Danio rerio: one gene and its partner. The protein of the gene in region 1 purifies or fractionates together with the protein of each later gene. This does not show direct contact. Links are inferred from orthologs where the notes say so. Each region holds a gene or a part of one and is shown in the gene's direction. Other genes may lie near its edges.

Region 1 (4,429 bases):
GCGCCAGGCCGTGCCAGTATTCACTGGATGTTGCTCGGCGGCACATTTCGAGCAACAAACACGTAATATTCCTTGCGATGTTGCGTTTATGTACCGAGTGAAGCTTCAGGAAGCGGACTTCGTGAGATTGGCGTGGCTCCACTCGCAAAGTCGGTATTGAACTCACCTTGGTCAAGTTCAAACAGCAACACTGAGCGAACTGACAAGGCTGACAGAGAGCACACGAGCTTTATAGGAATGCATATGCAAATTTTTACAAGGCACGTAAAAACTGCTGTTGCGTTGTCATGGCGAACGCTGAAGAGGGCTCATCTGATTGGAGCACACAGACTCGTGAATCTGCGTCACGGCGAATTGCCGTCTGCAGTACACAAAAATATATTAAATATATTCAATATATATTTTTTTACATTTCTGGTGCTGTGTAATATTCTGGGATGCAGTAGAATATGGAGACAGATGAATATAATTGGCTATATGCCGAGCAAGTGTTGTTCCCATATACTTATAAACTTCCGGTGACCGGTTAGTGTGAGTTTTTTCCATTTTATACGGTTCCTTTTACAGCATTCATGTTGTAATGTAATTAAAATACATTCAGTTAAATAAACTTTGGCATTCATTTAGTTGTTCAAGCGTAAAACGAGACAAAAGGCCTTTTACTCGCACTCGCCCGTCAGAATCGGCAGGATAGCGCAGACGCTCCATTGAATATACTGGGTTAAATATATGCTCATATTATAAAGACATGGCGGGGAAAATGTCATTTAATGCAGTGCTTCTAGTACAATCCGAGACCCACTTCATATCGGAAATCACTCAGCCAGTGGAGATCGCTGATTTTTAAAGAAAACTGACCTTAAAAACGTGCAGCTTTTTCCTTTGGCATACAGTTCGCCGGAAGCGCTTAACCCAGGTTACTGGCAAATTAAAAGTCCCATTAGCATGCTTCCAGAATGTCTTTCGAAAAAGAGTACGGGTTTAACCCCGGCATCCTGGCCAAATTTATCCACTGGCCTCTGTCCATCATGGCCCTTGGGTTGACTTTTCCGATTTCATTAAAAAATTCTTATTTCCAAACTTCTGTATTTCCCCAAAAAATGTATTATTTGGTCACTCTCTGAGTGTAGATCTTTCTCATTTTAAATCAATTATTGATTTTTTGCTTTTTTTAAAAACAAAATTTCACATCCATAAATGTAAATTTTCAAAGAAACACCCGTACTTTTTTATTTTCAGAAAGGACTTTGAAATGTATGTTCTCCAGGCCTGCAGATGTCGCTTCAGGTGGTTTGAACGACGCACGAGCGCTGCTTTGAAGTACAGAGGAAGACGTGCTGTAAATGGCTGCCTCCATGTCGTGAATGTGAGACCGACAACGATTAACGTTTTATTCGTCTCCCCAGTTTACTAAGGACATAAACGTGCCATATATCGCAAAGGTAAGACTATTTTATAGTTACTTATTGTTTATAATTCGAAGGATGAGTAATTACTCGGTTTGAAACCGATCGCTTTGAAATCGCTTCCCTCTCAGTTTATTAATGTCATCGTAAATTGATGAATGAAGGATCAAACAGCTCCATTTAAATTAACAGCATATTTACTGGAGAACACGGTTATATTAGTCACGTGATGTTATGAGTGGTCTGGGATGTATGATATATTTGGTATTTAATTGTCTGTGTTCTCTCACGAAGCAAATGATTGACATGTTTGAACTTTCAATAGATTATATAACTTATTTTTTTGCAAATTTAAGAAACGTGTGCCTTAATCATGCTGATGCACAAATTACGACATTTTATCTTATTTATTGTGAATTCCCAAACAATACCCATTGAACTATAACTGAATGCGATAATAATATAACTGAGCTATTTCAAATCTGTCAAAATTCACCCCAAATTAAACAAGACGCTTAGAATAAATAAACCCTATTTGTAGCATTATTTTCGTTTTTATAGCTGTAATTAATCCAGAAGAAAAGTTTTTGACATAATATATATGTGTGTATTGTGTATACATGCATGCATATCTTTGAGTAATCATATATAGTTCATCAAAAAATGAAAATTCTGTCTTCATTTACTCGCCCTTCACGTGTTACAAACCTGTTTGGATTTCTTAATTCCGTTCGACAGAAAAAGAGATATTTTGAAAAATGTTGTAAGCCGGTAACCATTGACCTCCATAGTATTTGTTTTCCCTGTTATGAAGGTCAATGGTTACCAGTTTTCAGCTTTCTTCTGAACCATCTTTTTTGTTTAACAGAATTACGAAAGAAACTCATAAAAGTGAGAGTAGAGTCCCAAATTTCAACATCGTTTGGCAAAATTCACCCAGTGCACTTTTAAGAAGTAACCAACTAGCTGTTGTTTTTAGCCTTTTGCAGTTCAGACTGATTTGCGGTTTGGCATCAGCCGTCACTTCCTTCCAAATGAAGGACGGCAAGGAGAACTCCAACGCCACCTTCGGAAGCTTCACCACAAATCTGGACCACACCAAGCCATGCTGGTACTGGGACAAGAAGGATCTGGCCCACACCCCGTCCCAGTCAGACCTGGACCCAGCCACAGAAGCGCGGTACAGACGAGAGGGAGCCAGGTTCATCTTCGATGTCGGAACACGTTTGGGATTGTATCCTTCAATGCTGCTATTTGTAGACTGATCTAAAGATGTTGTGTGTTTATTTATTGATTTAGACTGAATAAGGCTGAAGTTTAAATGGTGTGATGATTTCCATTTGGACCTTAACCATTTTTTAAGACATTATGACACCCTGGCGACAGGAATAACATACTTTCATCGGTTTTATATGTTTCATTCTTTCAAACAGTTCCCCCGATATGTAAGTACAAGCTGTTGTTGAAAGATATTTTTTTTTACTGTTTACATTTTTAAGGAATTGCTCACCCTCCTCTTGTTTCAGAGTTTTTTTCCTCTGTAAAACACAAAAGGAGATATTTAGAATAACATTGAAAACTGGTAACATTGACTGCCGTAGTATTTCTTTTGGTACCTACAATAGAAGTCTACCTTAAACTTCATTCATTCATTCATTTTCTTGTCGGCTTAGTCCCTTTATGATGCTGCGTTCACAACAGACGAGGTACGCGCGTCAAGCGTGACTGATTTACATGTTAAGTCAATGCAAACGCGCAAATAGACATCCTGCGGCGTGATACACGCGAATGGCGCGGAGCGAATGACACAAATAGCGCGAATGGCGCGGTGCGAATGGCGCGATACGCCCGAGGCGATTTGAGCGTTTTGCACATTTGACGCGCTTAACGAGCGTTTCGCGAGAATCTTTCGAGTTCGAAAATCTGAACTTCAGCGGACATTCGCGCAGCGTTAACCAATCAGGAGCTTGCTCTTGTGGGGGCGTGATTGTGACGTAGAACCTGTTGATGGTGTCCCAGGGGACATCCTCCAGGCGACAGCGACAGCGACAACAAGACATCAAACTGGGCTTGGCTCAGTCAGAAGCACCGCTGAAAGCCTCCGTGATCCAGGTTCAGTTTCTGGAGGAGTTTATGAGCTCACAGAGCAGGATGCACCTCTGAAAGGATGCAGTGGACTCAGACACGACCCTAAACGTATTGACGCTGTTTTTCAGTCTCCATAAAGCACATTAACACTGTTATTTTCTTAATAAAATCCATGTTAGCCATTTAGCTATGAAGCTAGAGTCACCGGGCAGACAGAAGCCCTGCCCATCACGCGAATCCGCGTCTGTTCTGAAGAGCATTAATCTGGGGTCGCCACAGCGGAACCACCAACTTATCCAGCAAGTTTTTATGCAGCGGATGCCCTTCCAGCCGCAACCCATCTCTGGGAAACATCCACACACACATTCACACACACTCATACACTACGGGCAGTTTAGCCTACCCAATTCACCTGTACTGCATGTCTTTGGACTGTGGGGGAAACCAGAGCACCCGGAGTAAACCCACACGAAGGCAGGGAGAACATGCAAACTCCACACAGAAACGCCAACTGAGCTGAGATTCGAACCAGCTACCCAGCGACCTTCTTGCTGTGAGGCGACAGCACTACCTACTGCGCCACTGCCTCGCCACCTTAAACTTCAGCCGTTTGCATTTCTCGCAATCACAGAAGCTCCCTGTGATATTAACTAGGTGCAGCTGGAAAAGTGCAAGCGTGTTGCTTCATGCGCGCAATGGAAAATGGCGGACGTGAAACGACAAACTAAGTATATGGTGACGCTCCAGTCGATCAATATTGGTGGGAGGGGGGACCGCACTCCTACATCAAGTCGGTCTGAAAACCGCTCCAATTGATCCACCGTTTTTATGTTGTTAAATTGAAAAAAAAAGGACTGTGTGTGTGTGTATATCACCCCAATATGACGGTATATAACACTACTTACACACATGTGTGTCCAAACAGCTTGAAAGGT
Region 2 (3,825 bases), on another chromosome or scaffold:
ACTGAGTAGTAGGCGGTTCCGGACACAGCCTGAGAATTTAACTGAAAGCAAACAGGAAGTGCATTTTTAGATTTAAATAAAATATTACTAAAGCAAACATTTCATTTTTATTGTATTTTTATTTTCTTAATGACCTGCACAGATGAATTGTTCTTCACAAAACTAGCAATGTGAGCTAACAAAATCAATATGGTTAGTTTTGATTTAATGTGTACTTTTTAAAGTTGTTATACACAAGCACCGTTATCCTGCAGTTATATAGTAAATAGGTCATGTCATTGTGTACATGTTCAATGAAGTGTATTAAGTATTATCTAATATTATTTGTGTATTGTTTATTATTTGATAGCTGATTTGAAAGCATTTCTCTTCTCCTCCGCAGGACATCTCTGCGTGCCCGGAGCCGTTCTCCTCACTACTCCTCGTCCCGCCGTTCCACGTCCCATTCTCGCTCAAAGAAACATTCGTTATATTCCGGCGGGGCCAGCGGAGCCTCCTCTCACAGTAGTCGACCTGGCAGCCGGTCGCCTTCATCTTCACGTTTGCCCATCACCTCCAGCCTCGGAGCCGAACTCACAAGAAGAAAGCAGGAACGTCAGGCAGCTGCTGCCAAGAACTCTCCTGCTCTCCAACCAAACACGTCCAATGTGACAAACACACCAGTGAAAAACACTGATCCACCGCCACTGGAGACAGCAGCAGCAGCAGCGGCGCCCCCTGAGCCTCAAAGACCGCCCTCTCCACCTGCAATCACTGTGGCTGTGGAGGAGCCTGCTGCGCTTCCTCCTCCACCTCTCCCATTATCCAGTCCTCCTCCGCTGCCTCTAACGTCTCCTCCGCCTCTTCCAGCCAGCTCTCCTCCTCCTCCTCCTCTGTCTTCTCCTCCTCCTCTTCCTCTGAACAGTCCTCCGCCGGCTCCTCCACCTTTAGCGCCTGCACCGGCTCTTTCTTCACGGCCGAAAAGCCCCGCACAGAAGCCCGCGAAAAGTCCTGCGCACCAGATGAAGACCTCCACGCTTCCTCCTCTTCCCCTGCCGCCGGCTCTTCTGGGAGACTGCAGGGACAGGTGAGTGCTGAAAACACACACTTCATAGGGAAACTACTGTCTGTATGCAAGTTTTCCACAAATGAGAAATAGTACCACACGGATTAACTTGCTTTATTCTGAAATAAGCACTGACATCACCTCATTTTGTCTTATTAAGGCAGTTATTATCCTAAATGATTATTTAGATGCTTTTTTTTTTTGGTGATTTGTGTCATATTTGATCTTGTTTTCATTTCTGCACATGGACTGTTTTAACAGGCTGTATTTATTAGGTACAGGGCAATATGAGTAGCCTCCAGTTTGTTGGTGTAGTAATTCACACTTAAGCCCCGGTCAGATCACATGATTTTTATTGTCTTTTACGAAAGTCTCTATGTCAGATTATGCAAATTATTATTTTTTTCTTGATAAAATCTTGACTTGTCATTAGAGCCGCACAATTAATCGTTAAAAGATGGCGATCTCGATTCGACCCCCTAGACCACAGGTGTCAAACTCGGTTCCAAAAGGGCCGCAGCTCTGCACAGTTTAGTTCCAACCCTAATTAAACACACCTGATCAAACTAATTGAGTCCTTCAGGCTTGTTTGAAACCTACAGGTAAGTGTGTTGGAGCAGGGTTGGAACTAAACTGTGCAGGGCTTCGGCCCTCCAGGAATTGAGTTTGACACCCTTGCCCTAGACCAGGGGTCTCAAACTCAATTTACCTGGGGGCCGCAGGAGGCAAAGTCTGGGTGAGGCTGGGCCGCATAAGGGATTTCTCAAAAAAAGTCCTCAAATGTCATTATTAACAGTTTTAATTATTTCTTCTGAACATGAAGTGTCCTGAACATTAATAAAACATTGAGTGAAGATTATGAACAGTTCTTCTGAACATGGCATCTTTTGCCTACTTCTTGCTGCCAGAGACTTGACAGCGCTTCTTCTCACAAATCTGAACCACATTTGTCTTTAGAGCGGAAGCAGTTGAGACCCTCAGTATGGCTTGAAGATGATCATTTAGTCTAGACCTGTACTTTGACTTATTGAAGTCCTAGGGAAAAAAGTGGGGGAACTAACTCAAAACTTCCATTCCCTCACCTAAAAAAAAGGCGTATATATGTATAAATAAAACACCCCCACCCCACTCCAGTCACATCAGTCTGTACCAGTCTGTATCTACCTATAATATCAATATATATAAGATGCAGGGCAGGCACGTGCACACATAGGGCTCAACCTGTGCAGAGCACATCCCCTTTTTAGTCTTGCATAGAAAGTGCCCTTCCAAAATGATCAAAAGTGCCCCCGCGACGCGACACACCCTCGGTCCCGCCCTTCAGTAGGCGCGCGATAACACCGTTCTTGAGTATGCGCGCGACAACACAGCTGATCAGAACGCGCGCGACAACGCGCATTGAGTGACAAGCGCGCTGTGTACGGATAGAATCAGCGGAGCGGGGAGCACTCTCTCTCCCCGCTCCGCTGATTCTGTCAGAGTACAGCGGTCGGCGCGGGCCACAAAATATTGCACTGAGGGCCGCAAATGGCCCGCGGGCCGCGAGTTTAAGACCCCTGCCCTAGACGATCTTAATCCAGCATTTCTACGATTCTGCCAATCATATTTTCGAGTTCAGGAGAGAAGAAAAGGCGGCTGCACGAGTCTTTTCATTGTTTCACATACGTTGCTCAGTGACATTGACACCTCCAAATGATGTTGAATGAGTCACTTAATGTATTTATAAGGTATAATTCATCAAAAAATGTCATTTTTGTCTTAATATAAGGATGTTTTCGCGATCGGGAAATCACACATGACATAAGCTGCTGACCGTGAGCTGTTATCACAGAGAGGGTGCGTGCGCTCTACTTAATGATAAACGCGTGCGCTTCTACTTTAGTGAACATAACCTGCATATGTTGCGAGTAACAGGTAATTCAGTTGTAAATAATATTCAGTTTGTGTCACAGAGTGATTGTTTGGGAGCCGCACAAGAAGTATAAACAAGCACTTAGCAGTCAGAATGAAACCGAAAGTGTTTAAATGATCGTATCCCATTTTAGAGTTATGATTACGACAAGCATTTGATATGTTTTTTCTTTCATAGTGAACCCACAGTTGTGCATGAAAATAAATGTTTACAATGTTAGTATAAGTACTCCAGCCTGTATATTGTTGAATATAATCTGATAATGGCAAATGTCTGATCTTACCAGTGAATAAATTTGTCTAATATAACAGATTGCAAGCATACATCTCAAACATAATAATTCAACATCAGAATTATTATAAGTAGAATAGAATTATTTATAGAAACCAGAAGACCTACACATAATATTAATGTCGAGGTTGTGCCATATGTTTGTTTTTACCATACCTGTATTTTACATCTACAGAATCATGAGAAAATCGTGATCTTTATTTCAAGCAAAAAAAAACGCGATTCTCATTTTAGCCAGAATCGTGCAGCTCTACTTGTCATGGGTAACAAATGTGCCAGACTACACGTTCCTTCACGAACGGTTATCCCATGACATCTATGATGAGCATTATTTCCTAAAGCAGTCACAAGTGTTGCTAAAATGCTGTGCTTACACCAGATGCGGAAGAAGCTTCAAGCACAAGTGTTTAGTAAATGCAAAGTTTAGTAAATGCAAAGGCGCGAATGGTGCGGCGCGAATGACTCGAATTGCGCAAATGATGAATTGAACGTTTTGCACGTTTGACGGAATCCTCCTTCCAGGTTAAATTTCTGGAGGAGTTTGTGAGCTCACTGAGCTGGGTGCACCTCTGAATGT

What was found.
Region 2: the proteins of ccnk (region 1) and cdk12 purify together in Homo sapiens (affinity purification with mass spectrometry; 6 studies listed by BioGRID and IntAct, with this or other methods). This does not show direct contact. The link is inferred for Danio rerio from reciprocal best matches to the Homo sapiens genes CCNK and CDK12.

The regions. Positions count from the first base shown.
Region 1 is NC_133195.1:5,223,780-5,228,208, forward strand, and holds the start of ccnk (cyclin-K), read left to right. Parts: upstream 1-1,337; 5' UTR 1,338-1,442; intron 1,443-2,139; exon of another isoform or gene 2,140-2,268; intron 2,269-2,385; 5' UTR 2,386-2,440; coding exon 2,441-2,640; intron 2,641-2,769; coding exon 2,770-2,851; intron 2,852-4,429. UniProt on the Homo sapiens protein: Regulatory subunit of cyclin-dependent kinases that mediates activation of target kinases.
Region 2 is NC_133194.1:5,796,342-5,800,166, forward strand, and holds part of cdk12 (uncharacterized protein cdk12), read left to right. Parts: intron 1-382; coding exon 383-1,066; intron 1,067-3,825. UniProt on the Homo sapiens protein: Cyclin-dependent kinase that phosphorylates the C-terminal domain (CTD) of the large subunit of RNA polymerase II (POLR2A), thereby acting as a key regulator of transcription elongation.